4 linked regions of the Canis lupus familiaris genome follow. The protein of the gene in region 3 interacts with the protein of the main gene of each other region in a biochemical or structural test. Links are inferred from orthologs where the notes say so. Each region holds a gene or a part of one and is shown on either strand. Other genes may lie near its edges.

Evidence for each region. The genes of interacting proteins can lie anywhere in the genome.
Region 1: of the proteins of CDK2 (region 3) and WEE1, one has a biochemical effect on the other in vitro, tested with the Homo sapiens proteins (3 studies listed by BioGRID, with this or other methods). The link is inferred for Canis lupus familiaris from reciprocal best matches to the Homo sapiens genes CDK2 and WEE1.
Region 2: of the proteins of CDK2 (region 3) and H1-5, one has a biochemical effect on the other in vitro, tested with the Homo sapiens proteins (15 studies listed by BioGRID). The link is inferred for Canis lupus familiaris from reciprocal best matches to the Homo sapiens genes CDK2 and H1-5.
Region 4: the proteins of CDK2 (region 3) and SKP2 form a complex in vitro, tested with the Homo sapiens proteins (3 studies listed by BioGRID, with this or other methods). The link is inferred for Canis lupus familiaris from reciprocal best matches to the Homo sapiens genes CDK2 and SKP2.

Annotation. Positions count from the first base shown.
Region 1 is NC_049242.1:33,444,164-33,448,392, reverse strand, and holds the start of WEE1 (wee1-like protein kinase), read right to left. Parts: upstream 2,801-4,229; 5' UTR 2,733-2,800; coding exon 2,154-2,732; intron 702-2,153; coding exon 496-701; intron 1-495. UniProt on the Homo sapiens protein: Acts as a negative regulator of entry into mitosis (G2 to M transition) by protecting the nucleus from cytoplasmically activated cyclin B1-complexed CDK1 before the onset of mitosis by mediating phosphorylation of CDK1 on 'Tyr-15'.
Region 2 is NC_049256.1:26,525,924-26,529,342, reverse strand, and holds H1-5 (histone H1.5), read left to right. Parts: upstream 1-1,290; 5' UTR 1,291-1,336; coding exon 1,337-2,017; 3' UTR 2,018-2,207; coding exon of another isoform or gene 2,208-2,648; 3' UTR 2,649-2,919; downstream 2,920-3,419. Other genes in the region: H2AC16 (histone H2A type 1-H-like), read right to left, coding at 2,208-2,648. UniProt on the Homo sapiens protein: Histone H1 protein binds to linker DNA between nucleosomes forming the macromolecular structure known as the chromatin fiber. Histones H1 are necessary for the condensation of nucleosome chains into higher-order structured fibers.
Region 3 is NC_049231.1:651,315-655,313, reverse strand, and holds the start of CDK2 (cyclin-dependent kinase 2), read right to left. Parts: upstream 2,801-3,999; 5' UTR 2,558-2,800; coding exon 2,442-2,557; intron 2,315-2,441; exon of another isoform or gene 2,169-2,314; intron 2,112-2,168; exon of another isoform or gene 1,908-2,111; coding exon of another isoform or gene 1,897-1,907; intron 1,727-1,896; coding exon 1,649-1,726; intron 1,546-1,648; coding exon 1,425-1,545; intron 739-1,424; coding exon 568-738; intron 72-567; coding exon 1-71. Other genes in the region: melanocyte protein PMEL precursor, read left to right, coding at 3,553-3,628. UniProt on the Homo sapiens protein: Serine/threonine-protein kinase involved in the control of the cell cycle; essential for meiosis, but dispensable for mitosis. Phosphorylates CABLES1, CTNNB1, CDK2AP2, ERCC6, NBN, USP37, p53/TP53, NPM1, CDK7, RB1, BRCA2, MYC, NPAT, EZH2.
Region 4 is NC_049225.1:73,293,850-73,297,851, forward strand, and holds the start of SKP2 (S-phase kinase-associated protein 2), read right to left. Parts: upstream 2,801-4,002; 5' UTR 2,578-2,800; coding exon 2,534-2,577; intron 2,045-2,533; coding exon 1,773-2,044; intron 1-1,772. UniProt on the Homo sapiens protein: Substrate recognition component of a SCF (SKP1-CUL1-F-box protein) E3 ubiquitin-protein ligase complex which mediates the ubiquitination and subsequent proteasomal degradation of target proteins involved in cell cycle progression, signal transduction and transcription.

The DNA of each region.
Region 1 (4,229 bases), on a different chromosome or scaffold from region 3:
ACATCAACTAGCGATCCAAAACTTTATCTGATATACAGTGAAATTGTATTTTAATAAATAAAAACAGAAAAAATAAATAAGTAAAACGAATAAAAACAGACAAGCAAGCACATAATTTTATAATCATAAGATATAGCTCAGCTGATGGAAATGCTGTCCCTGCTGAAATAGGCTCATTAACAAGCCAACACAATCACACGTATCAAAATTAAAGTTTTTCTAAATCAACTCTGCCTGCCTTGTTTTTGACACCAGCAGATTTTCTACAAACTACTTAGGCTTTTTATTCCTTCCTTTTTCATACCGTTACTTTTCCATAGCTGATTACTTTCCACCCACCTTTCCTGGGAAGAGGGTGCTAGTTAACAAAAAAAAAAAAAAAAAAAATTCAAAGCATAAACTTCCAAGTCATTCAGATAAAATTAAAGTTTGATAAGTACCACAAACCAATCTTGGGTGACTGGGGACCAAACTGTGGAATACTAAATAACTTACTCATTCCAGTGTGTTCGTTTTCTTCTACGACACTGTCCTGAGGAATGAAGTAACACAGAATCTGGGGTAAAAGGATTAATATTCACTTGAGGCGTCTGTCGCATGTCAAATTCCCTTTTTCCTGATTTTTCTGTATCCATGAATAAAGAACCACCTCGGAGTTTAACAGAGCTGGAATCGATTCCTCGAGCTTTGGAGAGTAAACTCTAGGTCAGGAAAAATAAAATTTTTAGTCTCTAAATCCTGTAGACAGCCTTCTCAACCCAACCTTCAACAAGCCTTTCACATGTCTGATAGTGTGGATTAAAGCAACACACAAGCTTCTGTCACATCTGAAGCAAAACAAACCCTGGTTAACTTCAGCAGTCTGAAAGGTGGATACTAACAACTTTTCCTGAAAAAGACTGCCACATAAAATAAGTTTCCGACCCTAAAAAAGAATAGGAATGCAGACTAAAATTAAGTTTATTCTGCAGTCTAAAAGTTAACAAAACCTCTCATTCCATCTAAAAATAGAAAGCAGTCAAGGATCCCAATAAAAGCTCCCTTCCCCCCTTCCAAATAGGGCTTTGAAAACCACCTCCGCCGGACTCCTCCCCTCACATTCAGAGGGATCATGCCTTGGGCAAGTCCCTGATAAACAGTAACGCTCAAAAACTACTTCTTCCTGAGGTTTACGACCAAAGGCACTGCAAGGGACTCAGAAAAGTACATTTTCCATATTAGTCTTATAAACGCGATACTTGTCTCAATGTCGTTGAAGGGTCCGTTTTAAAATCTGCTGTTACTTCCAATGTTCCAGAGGCAGTAATCTGCATATTCACTCGCTACTCAACAAACAAGTGCTGAACACCTTCATCATCACGATAGGTTATCAGCGATATGAAACCACAAGGGTCCAAGCAACCCCACCAATGCTGGCTTTTAACGGATGTCCCTAATCGCTACACTTAGGCTGGCCACACATAGGCACTGCAAACCGGTGTAAACAAACGCTTACCCAATAATAAATAGCATGTGCGGATAGAAGCTTAAACGCTACCCTGAATTAAGGAGTCTTTAGGACTGGAAATGCTTGGAAAGCCAGCCTTTTCTCCCAAGTCGAAGCGCACTCTCCCTCCATACCTCAAACTTAACCCCTTAAGGCCACATGACACGAAGCGATAAGCGCATGAAATTTCTTTTAACCCAACTCCTGCTTGCGCCGCCCAAATTACAGGGCCCATCACGGCGTTTAAAAGGCACCATATGGCTGCGGCGCTCGGGAGTGTCAGGTGGCCGGGCCAGCACCACTCCGACATCCTTCCAAACCACGTTATCAGGGCCACACTCCGGGCTGACACGGTCGGGAAGGCCCCGACTCGAGGGGCGTGAAATCATCAGCCACCTGGACGGCGCCGATCAGCCCCTTTGAAAGATGAAGAAGTTCCAGAAGAGGCCCATTGTTCAGTTACATAATCTTAACGGACAACTTCTGGGCAGGGCCAAAAAGAGGGGCTGCCAACTTTTTGTTGCGGCTCAGGGGAGCGAGTAGGGGTGCGGCAGGGCGGTTATGTAACCGAACCCGAGCAGCGGCGCGCTCGGCTCCCGGCGCCGCGGCCTTTTTAAATGGCTGGGCGGGCGCGGGCTCGCGGTGCCCCGGCCCCGCGTCCTCTCACCTTGGGCGTGTGCGGCGTGTCGAAGAGCCGCAGCTTGCGGAAGGTCTTGTGCGGCGGGGTGCCGGGGTGGTCCGGCAGCGGCGAGCAGGGGCCCTCGCTGGCCCTGCGCGCCCCGCAGCCGCGCGGGGACGCGTCCCCCGCGCCGCCGCAGCGCACCGGCGAGAACGAGCTGCCCAGAAAGTAGGCGGCTGCCGGCGACTTGACCGGCGACGAGGAGCCGAAGCCCTCCTCCTCCCACGAGTCGCCCTCGGCCCCGCCGCCCGGCGCGTCGGCGCCGGGACAGGCGCCCCGCAGCAACATGTCCTCCTCCAGCTCCCCGGGGCTGCCGGGGGCCGGGCCCGGCGAGCGGCGGCGCTCGGGCCCGGGCTCTGTGGGGCTACGCGCGGGCGGCAGCGGCGAGTCGGGCTCTTGGAAGGCCGAGTCCTCCCCCGTGCTGTGGCCGCTGCCCTCCTCCTCTTCCTCCTCCTCCTCCTCCTCACAGTCGCTGCAGGGCGAGAAGATCAGCTTCTGCCTCAAAGTGCAGGAAGCCCCGGGACGGCGGCGGGGCGGCGGCGGCTGTTGCCGGCTCAGGAAGCTCATCGCGCCCCTGGGGCCGGGGCCGAGGACCGGAGAGCCGGAGCCCGCGGAGTCCAGGACGCGGACGGCCCAGGGGGCGGGTCCGCCACGTGCGACTGGGCGCGCCGGGTCGCCGCGGCGGCGGACCTGCGCGGTGACGGGGTGCGGCTCCGGAGCGCTCGGGGCTGCGGGCGGCGGCGGCGGCGGCGGCGGTGGCGGCAGCGGCGCGGCCTGTCCAGCAGAGGCGGGGCGGCCTGGGCACCGAGGCTGGGGTCTCCGCAGGTCCAGCCGCAGGTCCGGGCTCCGCAGGTTCGGGCTCCGCGGCTTCCCGCGACCGTTAACCACGTGAGGGCCTGACCCACCAATCCACGCCCAGCCTCGGGTTTGAAAAAAAAGGAGGGCGCGACGTAGGCCGCGGGGGAGGGATCAACTACGCGATTTTGGCGCGAACCCGCTGGCTCCGCCCCCCCCCCCCCCCCTCGGCCGTTCGGGCGGGCGCGGCGCGGCGCCGCGGGCCTATGAGGGAGCCGGACTTCTGGGAGCCTAGCCCGGCGCCGCCCGGTCGGGGCCGGGCGGGGGAGCCGAGGCGGCCCTCTGGGAGGGGCGAAAGGTCCCGGGCTCGGCTAGGCCCAGCCGCACCCCGCCTGGAGGTGGCCCGCTCGCGGTCCCTCAGCGCTCCGGGGCCTGAGGTGGGACCTGGGAACTCCCGCGGCTCTCGCGCTCTGCCCCGGGAGTGCGGCCTGTGGCCGCCGCGTCCCCGTGGTGCGGGCGGCCGGGGCGTTGTGGGCGTGGCTGTGGGCAGTCTCGTTCCCCCGTAGAGGTTGGAGCCGGAAGTGGCGACTCGGGCCTCAGGAACTTTGCGAGCTGAGCCCGGGGCTTAGAGGCGACGCCGAAGTCAGCAAGGAGGCCGGCCCGGGAGGGCTCGAGGCGGGGACGGCGGCCGTGGGGAAGGCCTCCGGAGCCTCGGTTTCCCCCCAGGGTAGCTGCAGGGTCGGGTAGGCCCCCAGCGAGGCGAGCTTGCTTCCCCCAGGCCGTGGCCCCCTCGGCAGCCCACCCGAGACTCGTCCACCCGAGTAAACAGCAGCGGCCCCAGCGCGAAGCCCGAAGCCCGGGCCCTCCACGCCGCCGCGGTGTTTATATTTGTTTGCCAGCACGTGGGCAAGTGTTGGCAAAGGAGATTGGCCCACCTCACTGCAAACTTAAACGCAAGTTGAGAAAAAATACCTCCAGTACTTCGTCAAATTGTGATTTCGTCTGCCCTTTATCGTCGCACACACAAGTTTCTTGGAATTTTTCAGTTGTAAATAACCCCATCGCAAAAATTCTAACTTCTCGTGTGGTTGGTTGGTTGTTTTTTTTTTTTTTGGTGGGGGGTCTGTGTTGTTTGAGGACTGGGGGTTTTTTTTTTTTTTTTTTTTTTTTTTTTAAGATAGACTCATAGAAGTGAGAATGATTGGGTCAAAGGATAGGAACTGCCAAACCGACCTCCAGAGAAAAACAATTTAAACTCTCATTAGCAGT
Region 2 (3,419 bases), on a different chromosome or scaffold from region 3:
TATTCTTTTTTTTTTTTTTTTTTTAAGATTTTATTTATTCATGAGAGACACCTAGAGAGAGGCAAAATTAGGCAGAGGGAGAAGCAGGCTCCCTCTGGGGAGCCTGATGTAGGACTCAATCCCAGGATCACGTCATGAGCCAAAGGCAGATGCTCAACCACTGAGCCACCCAGCTTCCCGGATGTTGTATTCTTGACTACTTCTGAGTGTCTATAACTTGTATTCCTTCAATTGCCAATCCAGTCTTCTCATAGTCCGTAGCCACCTATTTCTCTTAAATAAGGTCTCTCCTAGCTCATAACACAATAATGCTCACATTACAGAAAGGTGTTTCTGACAGCGCACTTTATTACATATTGATGGAGATAAGGACTTTGAATTGGGAAGTATTGGGAAGAGTACCTTGGAAGTCTGACAGAGTCCCATGTCACCTACAGTCTGTGTTTTTGAGGACTCCTGAAGCCCTTGAATACTTCCAGCAGGTTTGAGGTTTTCCTCCAGCACTTTATCTGTGCTAAGCATCTTTCCCATTTATTATAATGGATTTGCCTAATACTAAAGGTAGAAAGCATCTCAATAAAAAACATATCAAATTTAAGTTTTAATTCAAATTCAGGTCATTGGATCCTCAAGCCAAAGCTATTCCTCCTCCTCCTCCTGCTGCAAGGTAGATATCATTCTGGCTACTAAACTTTCCCAAACAGCCAAAGACATTCTCTAAAGACATCGGGCGTGTGAAAACTCCCAGGAGGCAGAACTGGCTTTTGAAGGAGGATCTATGTGGTTAATTTGGGGCTGCAGGCAAGCTGCTGCCCTCCCTCTGTGTTACTAACTACAGTTTATTCCCAAACCGAGAACCTGTGTCTTTCCTCTTACAAAAATCAAAGTGCAGACCTAGGGACATTTTTTAACATGTCCACTTGATACTTAGTAGAACTTACTGCAACTTTGAACTAACTACCATAATGCCTTAAACCCAGTGGATTCCTATGAAAAACTGAAAAGATTTAAAAAGAAAAATCTTTCATCTGTTGTACATGATTCATGAAAACACGAATCCGCATGTGAACCTAGAGACTGTTTTCTTCCTTGAGAGCTTCAACACGTCAAATTCTGTATAATAATTTTCAGTATTTAATCAGATTTTGGGAGCTAACAAACACAATTTGGGAGTCCAACCGCGAAGGGCGGCTGCCTGAGGGCAGTGGATTGGACGCTCCACCAATCACAGAGCAGCACCGGCTTATATAAGCCCCTGGCCGGAGTCAGGCAGCATTGCAAGACCTGCTCTTTCGTTTTTCCGGTTCTCTTCCTGCAGCGGCTTCTGCTCTCGGCCATGTCGGAAACTGCTCCCGCTGAGACGGCTGTCCCGGCGCCGGTGGAGAAGTCACCTGCCAAAAAGAAGGCCACCAAGAAGGCAGCGGGCAGTGGCGCTGCGAAGCGCAAGGCGTCCGGGCCCCCGGTGTCCGAGCTCATCACCAAGGCGGTGGCCGCGTCCAAGGAGCGCAACGGTCTCTCCTTGGCCGCGCTCAAGAAGGCGCTGGCGGCCGCCGGCTACGACGTGGAGAAGAACAACAGCCGCATCAAGCTGGGCCTCAAGAGCCTGGTGAGCAAGGGGACCCTGGTGCAGACCAAGGGCACCGGCGCCTCGGGCTCCTTCAAGCTCAACAAGAAGGCGGCCTCCGGGGAGGCCAAGCCCAAGGCCAAGAAGGCGGGCGCGGCCAGAGCCAAGAAGCCCTCCGGGGCCACTCCTAAGAAACCCAAGAAAGCGGCGGGGGCGAAGAAAGCCGTGAAGAAGACCCCCAAGAAGGCCAAGAAGCCTGCAGCCGCCGGTGTCAAAAAAGTAGCAAAGAGCCCTAAGAAAGTTAAAACGTCTGCCAAGCCTAAGAAGGCGGCCAAGAGTCCTGCCAAGCCCAAGGCGGTGAAGCCCAAGGCCGCCAAGCCAAAGGCTGCGAAGCCAAAGGCCGCGAAGCCCAAACCTGCCAAGGCCAAGAAGGCGGCCCCGAAAAAGAAGTAGGAAGTTTTTGCCCCTTGAAAAAGCCGACAAAGCCCCAAAGGCTCTTTTCAGAGCCACCCAGGTTTTTTTAAAAACAGCTGTACACTTAGACACAAATCTTGGTAATGGTTATGTAGCTTAATATAAGGCATTTTGGAAAACCCTGCGCTGTGTGCGGTCGAACCAATTGGTTCGGTGCTACGGTTCGGTACTACAACTGTGGTCCCACCGTTTCCCAGGGAATATTTTGGTTTGGGAGTTTTTTACTATAGAAGTCTAATTCTTTTCCTCCTAGCCTTGGCAGCAGCACGGCCTGGATGTTGGGCAGGACGCCGCCCTGCGCGATGGTCACGCGGCCCAGCAGCTTGTTGAGCTCCTCGTCGTTGCGGATGGCCAGCTGCAGGTGGCGCGGGATGATGCGCGTCTTCTTGTTGTCGCGGGCCGCGTTGCCCGCCAGCTCCAGGATCTCGGCCGTCAGGTACTCCAGCACGGCCGCCAGGTACACCGGCGCGCCCGCCCCGACCCGCTCCGCGTAGTTGCCCTTGCGGAGCAGGCGGTGGACGCGGCCCACCGGGAACTGGAGCCCGGCGCGCGACGAGCGCGTCTTGGCCTTGGCGCGAGCCTTGCCGCCCTGCTTCCCGCGACCTGACATGATGACAGACAACAGTGACTTGGATCGGAACAGATGGAGACCAAGTTTCAGTATTTATTATAGTCCTTACTGGGCGCCAAAATGAAGCTGTCCTATTGGCTGAACTTCGACTTTCATTAGAACCAATGCAATTCTGGTTTTCAAATACCCTTATTTTGATTGGATAGCTACAGGATGCTATCCAGAATTTACCACAAATCACTAGAGTTTAATCTCCTTCGCGTGAGGCTGTGAGTAAAGACTGCACGTAGTAACTGTTATTCTTTCCCCTTTTGGCTTTTGTTGGAGGGGAGTGGAGGTGTTGGGGAGGGGAGGGTTAGTTATTTTCCACCATGTCAAAGCAGTCAAGTTTAAGAAGTACACCAGGTCCAAGTGAGCCCGCCAGCGGAAAAGGTATTCGTCAGACACCCAAAGGCTTTTTTTTTTTTTTAAGAGCCATCCACACTTTCCAAAGAAAACTAATACTGCCTTTACCCTGACTTAGAGTTAGGCAAAAGCACATTTTCATCTGAAGGCTTTTGTACACACTCTAATTTTGCACAGAGTTACATTTTGGCCTTGTATGTTTTCAATAGGATCTAGCCTTTTTTTTTTTTTTTTTTTTAAGTTACAAACATCAAGCACTCCAAATTAATTTTATTGTGCATATTTCATTTAACATCCAAATTCTAAGAGTCATCCATGGAGTTAATTACTGAGAAAACTGCAAATTTAAGGTGAAAATGAAAAATAACCCTGAACTTGCAGTGAAAATCTTATTGTCAGAGCTTC
Region 3 (3,999 bases):
ATATCTACGGCTGTGGAGTAGTACTTGCAGCCCAGAAGGATTTCAGGTGCTCGGTACCACAGGGTCACCACCTGGGAACAAGAGCAAGAAGGGGAGAGGTGGTGCATGGGGCACAGTGATTCCCACATGTCAGCTCCTCGGTGTTACTCTGCTAGTTCTCAGCCTGATCACAAGCAGCTTCTCTCCCTCTATCTTTCTTTTCCCATCTTTCTGACTTCCCCTGCGTAAAGTGATTACACACAACTTCTTAGACCAGAGTTAGCCTCGCCTGTGGCTCCAAAGACCCTATTTTCTGAACCCAAAACTTTCAACCTTCCTGGAAAACTCCTGAGAGAAGTGGTCATAATTTTAATGATATGCCATCCAGCTCTGCTGGCTTGGTACCTACTGAAGCCCAGCTAGCCCCGCAATATGAACTCAGTGCATACTCTAAAACCTCCTGGGGTGCCAGAGATACTTTCATCTAGGGAGAGAGAAACTGCTGGCCAGATAGGTTTAGTCATTTTGTAAATGTCCTTGTTAACACCTCCCAGAAAGTTCAGAGAAGAAGTGCAGACAGGGTCTCACCTCATGGGTGTAAGTACGAACAGGGACTCCAAAGGCTCTGGCTAATCCAAAGTCTGCTAGCTTGATGGCCCCCTCTGCGTTGATAAGCAGATTCTGAGGTTTGAGGTCTCGGTGCAGAACCCGATGAGAATGGCAGAAGGCTAGGCCCTGGAGCAGCTGGAACAGATAGCTCTGACGAAGGAGAGAGAGAGGACTTTGTTTCTCGACCACAGTGAGCTATTAGGCTCCACTCTGCCTGCAAAGCTGTACTAAAGCCTTTTACTGTATTAGATTATAATTGCATGTTTATAAGCTGTATCTCCCATTGGACTGCTAGTCTAGTGAAGATAAGGACTGGGTCCTATTTAGTTTTGCATCTCTTTTCCATATTCTGTGCCTAGCACATTGAAGGTGTTCAGTAAATGAGCACCGAATAAATGTTTGTTGATAGATTGAAAATAGCTCAGGGAGCAGAGAACCCAGCCCTAAGACAGACAACAGAGACTCACTGGCTATTTCTCCTACCAAACTAGTGGAAGGGGTTCTTGGAGGAATCTACCAAGTACCAAGTACCCTCCAGTCTCGTTTATCTGAGTTTCATCTGACCTTCCACCTGAGCTACAAAGTTGACTCACTAGAGTTTCAACTTCTTTGATTCTCCTGCCCTGCCCAGGGGTTAATAAGCATAATGAGCAGTGAAAGAGCCACAAAAGAAAGGTGTGTGTGTGTGTGTGTGTGTGTGTGTGTGTGTGTGTGTGTAGGGGGATGAGGGCTGGGAAGGAAGCTAAGATCACAGATCATCACCCAGTCTGAATTGCCTGCCTTCAGTCCCCCCAAAACGTGCCCATGTTGGGGGAGGAGTTGATGAGAAGGATTACCTTGATGAGGGGAAGAGGAATGCCAGTCAAAGCAGAAGCATCCATAAATTTCTTCAGATCCTGGTGCAGAAATTCAAAAACCAGGTAGAGTTTGTTTTCTGTGTGGATGACATCCAATAGCCTAGGGAGGGAGGTCCAGGAATGGAGGTGAGGAAGAGCGATGCCCCGGCCTCACAGAAGACATTCTCTTTTACCGCTGAAATATCTCCCAGACACATACTTACTTGACAATGTTCGGGTGGTTAAGCTCCTTAAGCAGGGAGATCTCTCGTATAGCAGTACTGGGTACACCCTCCGTCTCACTTGGGGAGGTTGAGAAAGCAGAGAGAGGAATGTGGTTACAAATACTGCTTTTCCCCCAGCCCAGTCTCCGAACGAGACACCACCCCAGCACACCCTAGGAAAGTGACAGAAGAGAAAGGGGGCTGTAGGAGTTAATTCACAGGTGGACAGGGGGGTGCTTTTTGGATACGTTAAGGTCATTATTTCTTCTTCTCCCACGGGTAGGTAAGTAAAGCCTTCTGGTGGAGGTGAAGAAGAGAGAAGGTAACGGGAGGAAAGAAGAGTAGCAGCACCCAGCCTCCCTAGACGGGCCAGTGAGGTTCAACTGCCATTCTTTTGAAAGGGGTAGAGAATTCTAAGAGGAGGGTGGGGTTGGGGCAGTGAGGAGGGCTCTTCATTCAGAAAGGTGCTCTTCACCGGTTCCCACAGACCTCAACTCCACGGGGAGTCTTGGACCCCCACCTCAGAGGCCTCCTTCCTCTTCCTGAGTCTTTCGGACTACACGTTTGGGGGCATCACTCGGCTTTGGGGAGAAAGTTTCCCACAGACTCTACAGTGCCCTATACTCTGCACAGGGAAACCCTTCACTGTCCTCCAGCCCACCTCTCCACTTCGAAAGAAGTCCCACCCTGCTACCTTCCGGTCCTCGGACGGCTACCCGCCTGTCGGGGTGGGGGCGGGGGGCACTCAAGAAGCTCCGGAGTTAGAGGAGTCCCGGGTACAGAGGCCACTCACGTGTCCAGGCGGATTTTTTTAAGCGCCACCACTTCTCCCGTCACTTTGTTTTTGGCTTTGTACACAACTCCGTACGTGCCCTCTCCGATCTTTTCCACTTTTTGGAAGTTCTCCATGAAGCAAGCGCTAGAGTCGGGTCAGCCCGGCCCCGGAGCGGGGGCCTGGGAACCCAGCAAAAGGCGGGCCCCGGCTCTCGGGGGCTGGAGGAGGGGAAACAGGGCCCAGCTCCGCGGCCTCAGGTCGGGATGGAACGGAGTGTATCTCTCGCTCTTGTCAATTTGTCCAACTTGAAACAATGTTGCCGCCTCCCCTCGGGTTCCCTACCGCCAGTGGAGGCCCCGCCCCTCCTTCCCGCGTTTCCCTGGCCCCGCCCCCGGCCCTTCCCATTGGCCAGCGTCAGAGCGGGGGGGCGAGCCCAGCGCGTCGCTGCCGCCAGTGACCCCACCTCGCGCAAGGTTACTACCGAGGGTCTTCGATACAAGTTTGTCACCTTGGGGAAGCTAAATAAACGTCTTTTTCCAAGTACCCAATTTGGAGTCGAGCTTCCTTCCTGTGTCCTGGGCCTGGAGGGATTTCCTGACCTCTGATTCGCCAACCCCAGAGAAAATGTGTCTTGCCCTAAGATTGAATTCCACCTGGCCCAGGGAACCGCCTTTGAAAAGCAGGAAGCTAGGAATCTCATCGTATGGGTGTCCTGGGCCTTGGACACGTCGTTCGCGCCCCTCTCTGCCTATCCTATCCTATCTCTCTGTTTGGAGATGCAGGGTCTCCATCTGTTTGAGAGGTTTCCTGGTTTGACTCAAAAACCAGATTGATCCCCTTAGCCTGTGGTGCACTGCAGGCGTCGAGTACACACGATGTAGCTAGCTGCCCTGCAGTCCATGTTTCCCCGGTCAAGAAGGTCGTGACCCAGTGAAACCAGAAACTGTCATTGAGTAGCGGGATGTCCAGGGACCAGGATCCCTTTTCAGTTATTTCTCTGGCCCTCCTGCCCCTCCCAAGCCTCTCCAGGAGGGAAAGGAGGATGGGCTATGCAAATGAGCACCCCTCTCCTATATAGGGGCTTGTCCCAGCACCCCCAGCGCCTTTGGTTGCTGGAAGAAAGAACAAGATGAATCTGGTGCCGAGAAAATGCCTTCTCCATGTGGCTGTGATGGGTGTTCTTCTGGCTGTGGGGGCCACAGAAGGTTAGTGTGGGGAGTATGGACATGAACAAGTGGGAGTTTGGGGTTGCACACCTGCTCTGATTTTTCTCCCTCCTCATGGGAGATACCAGCAATATTTCAGGCTTCTTCCACCCATTTGATTTAGCGAGGACATGGGCATCTGAAGTCCCTCTCTAGGTGGAAATTTGGGACTGAGCCTGAAAATAATCCCATCTGCTTGGAAGGGCAAAAGGATAGTAGGTCTTTGGGGCTCTAATTCTGAGACACCCCCACCCCACCCCCGGGGCAATGAGCTGGAGCAGGGGCTTTGAAAGGGAAATAAGTGGAAGACTTAGGGAATGACTCAGGCACTTGGGATAGGGTATTTAAAAGAAAGGAGTAAGAGAATGTGG
Region 4 (4,002 bases), on a different chromosome or scaffold from region 3:
TGATATAGATTTCCAGATCATAACCTGCCGGTTCTCTTTTCCAGTGAAAAAGTCAAAACCCAGAAACAATAGTTTTGTTTTTTTTTTTTAAAGCAACCAACCAACCCTTCTTCAAAGAAAGTCTGGTGGGAGAACTGAGGAATATACTTATTACCGTGGCTCTGCAAGACTTCATCTTAATTTCTTTTAATCTGCCTCTTATTCTTCCCCTATCACCCACCCAATTCCTGTTTAGGGTCCGATCGCCTCCTCTACAGACGACTTCAATAGCCTCCTGATTCTGTCAACTCTAATGTCAGAATCCATCCTTTTAACAAATCTCTAAGCTTCTATGCGTGACCCCCCTATAGTTTAATCCATACACATCAGTGTGTCCTTTTAACAGATGACATCACAAATCTGCTCAACACCACCTCTAGCCCTATCTCCCACTGCTCTCCCTTTTGCTCAGTCTGCATATGGCTTCCTTCTTCCTTGAGCAAACATGACATGTTTTTGCACCAGGGTCTTTGCACTGCCTTTGTCCTCTGCTTAGAGCCCTCTTCTCCAAGATATTTGCGTGGCACATTCCTCACACCTCCTGTATGCTTTTGCTTAAAAAGCTTGTGTCTAAGTGAGGCTATCCCTTAATATCTCTTAGTGAGGTTTAAAGTTGTAAACCATCTTCCAACCCCAGGACTTCCAATCCCTCTTGGCTTGTTCTCTACTTGTTTTTGGCCACAGTATTTACCACCTTCTTAACATATTATACACCACATTTATTATGTTTATTGCATCCCCCCTCTCAAACAGAAGCTTCATGAGAGCAGGAATGCTTATGTTTTGTTCCCTGCCTTATCCCCAACACATAGAACGATGCCTCCCACATAGCATGTGCTCAGCAAATATTTGCTGGATTAATGTTTTAAATGACTTACTGGCAAGAAAAACTGATAACCCTAAGTCATTGCACTGTGTTTACCCTATGGCTTTTGTACTCTTCGGATTCTGATCCACTCTGGGAGATACTCAATGACATGTCTGAGAAGCCTGGGGAAATGATATGGTGAGTTCTACATCTGAGTCAGTTCACTCTAGCTCTGGGGATGGATCAGGGGAGGATAAGACTGGAATTATGAGTCCATGCCAATATTCAGGCAAGAGATAATGAGAGTATGAAAAACATCTAGGAGACAAGAGGGAAACATTCAATGATTGGTTGGGGGCTGGAAGATGGTGGGAAGGGACTGGCCCTCAGGTTTCTGGCTGGGTGACTGAACAGATAATGTGGGCAGTAATGGAGACAGATCAAACCAGAAAAATCCCACTTGGGAGGTCCGAGGGATATAAGGCCCTACTCCTAGTTTAACATTCACGTTAGTAGTCCTTTGACAAATAACTAAAGCAATTATGGCAACAAACTCAACTGAAGCTACAGAGCAACGGAATATAAATAACAAAAATCCTACAAGATTATTGCTTATGTTCCCATTTAACAATGGCACTGAGCTGGCCTTTGAACACGCAGATTCCCTTCAAAGGGAAGGAGGCAGGAAGATCTTCTGGGTTAAAATTTCACATGGGTTAAAAGTCAATTGTGCACCTGGAAAATATATACCTACCAAGATTCCTGTAGATTTCAGTGACAAAGGGTTGTCCCATTGCTTTGGAAATCGACTTCAGAAGTAGGCAATTTTAAAAGCGTGCCATCCTAAAGATCGCTTAACAAAGATTAGCAATAAATAGTTCAGTCCACTTCTTAAGTGACCGACAGTTTTACCCTCATACCTTACCTGGAAAGCTGTCTCGATTTAGCTTAGGCCTGCGGACTATGACAAAGTCCTTGTCATTCCCCTTGCTTTTCAGCCGTTTTCGGGGCGGGCTCTGAGGGTGGCCCAGATTTGAGAGCAGTTCCTGGGGGATATTCTCACTGTCCACCTCCTCCTTCTCCAGAGCAGAGACCCCCATGCCCGACAGCAGTTCAGAAGTCTTACTAGAATCCCATCCCCACGTGAAGCTGGTGGTAACGTTGCTACTCTGGTCTGGAATCTCCTGGAGGTGTTTCCTGCAGAAATGCACAACAGCCCCGGTTTCTTTCAAAAACACACCCGTAAATAATTCAAAGATAGGCCTACATGAAACTCTAAGTTATGCAATGCAGAAAACTTTAAGAATTGCATTTTTTTTTAAAGTGCCGGCGGCGAGTTTCCAAGAAGGAAAAAAAGAAAATAACCGAACAAATCAAAAAGGCTTTTTGATTTACGATCACGGAGAAGGCCTCAAGAATGTCTTAAAGTGGAGGGAACAGACAAGCGGGGGGGGGAGGACGGGGGGGGGGCAAACGTACACCGGCAGGAAAGCTCAATAAGGGAAGGCAAAAACCGCACGCTGATCACCGCACTAAAGCATCCGGCCCCCCACACTTTCCCAAAGAAGGGGCTGAGCAACGATTCAATTACAACATTCACAACAGTATTAGCGCGTAGCAATATTCGCGGCCTAAAAGAATTGAGGCGGTTCATTCACTCTCAGCCCCCTTTTGCAATCGGTTTACCTATGCATGGCGTCCACAGCTTCTGGAGTTTTAAACGCGTGCATTAATTGCAGAACTGCACGCCTCCGGGATTCCCGCTTTGGCGCGCGGCGGCTCAAGGCGTGCAGCTCCGACCCCCAGCAGCGAGACCCGCGAACTCTAGCAACGTTCCATCCTCGCCGCGCGCGCGAGGGCTCTTCTACTCGCCCTCCGCCGCCGCCGCCGCCGCCGTCGGCCGCCCCGCTGCCTGCCGGGAACTGTAGTTTCCGTCTTGCCTCGTAGTCCCGCCGGCTCTGCGCGACGTCCTTCCTCGGCTGACTTTACCCGCCTCGGAGATACCCACAAGCCCCCGCGCCCGCGAGGCGGGGCCGTCCACGCGGTAGGCGGGGAAGCGGAAGTGGGCGGCGCTCCGGCTGCCTGGGAAATGTCAGCCGCCTGACTGGGGACGGATTTTCCTTACCCCGGAGCCTGCAGGCCTTTCTAGTGGTCGTCACCGCCGTCGCCCCGGATCGCCGGTCGCAGGTCCGGGACGGCTGTGGCGGACGCGGGGTTCCCGGTCCTTGTGCGGACGCTGTCTGGCCTGATGGGGAGGGCGTGAGCCCTGTGGGGTCTGCGGTCTGAGGCCGGGCGCTGGCGGAGATCGAGAGGACCTCGGAGACCCCGAGCCGCCGCCGCCGCCGCCACCGCGGGCCTTCGTTCCCGGCCACCGAGTGGAGGCGGCAGCCCGGTCCGCCGGCCAGGTGAGACGATGAGGGCCGCGGGCGTCCCACTTGCGCCCCCCCGCCCCCCCCCCGCCGCCGCCGCCGCCGCCGCGAAGCTGCTTCCTCCATCTGGGAGATAGTGACCCTTAGCACTGCGGGTCACCAGGTGCCTGTTCTGTAGGCACTACGGCTCCGAGGTTCCTCCCGAGAACACGCCTGACGTGAGGGGCAGATTACGCTTGTGGAAGCGCTTTGTAAACTAAAGCGCGGTTGGAAGGAGAGGCGGTGGCTTAATTTTAGGGGAGCAGGAGAACACGGCGGTTGCCACGGTGTGCGGTGGGACAGCTGCGCAGCCCCCTGGCAGCCCAGACGAGCTTGGGAACAGCTAAGGGGACGGTCGGTAGGTCTGTGAGGGCCGTGGAGCGCCACGCTCGGGGCCGCTGGGCTGCTCGCGCTCCGCCGACGACGTCCGGCGGCGTCGCCGTCTGAAAGGCGAGCTGCTGCGAGCCTGTCGCCGCCCGGGAGAGCCTGGGGGCGGCCAGAGCAGGGAGTGTGCCGCATTCCAGGTCGGATGACCGTGCGAAATCCACAAACGGTGACCCCTGGAGAACAGTGGAAGGGAGAGGGGAATAAATTCCAACCTTCAATTAAAAAAAATTAAAAAAAAAAAAAAAGGAGAGGATTGATCAAGTTCAGAAGTAAGCAGAGCCCTCTGCTAAGTCATCACAAAAATAGAGTATTGCTTGAGCATGCAGTACGACAATACCTTCAAGAACCAGTGTGAAAAAA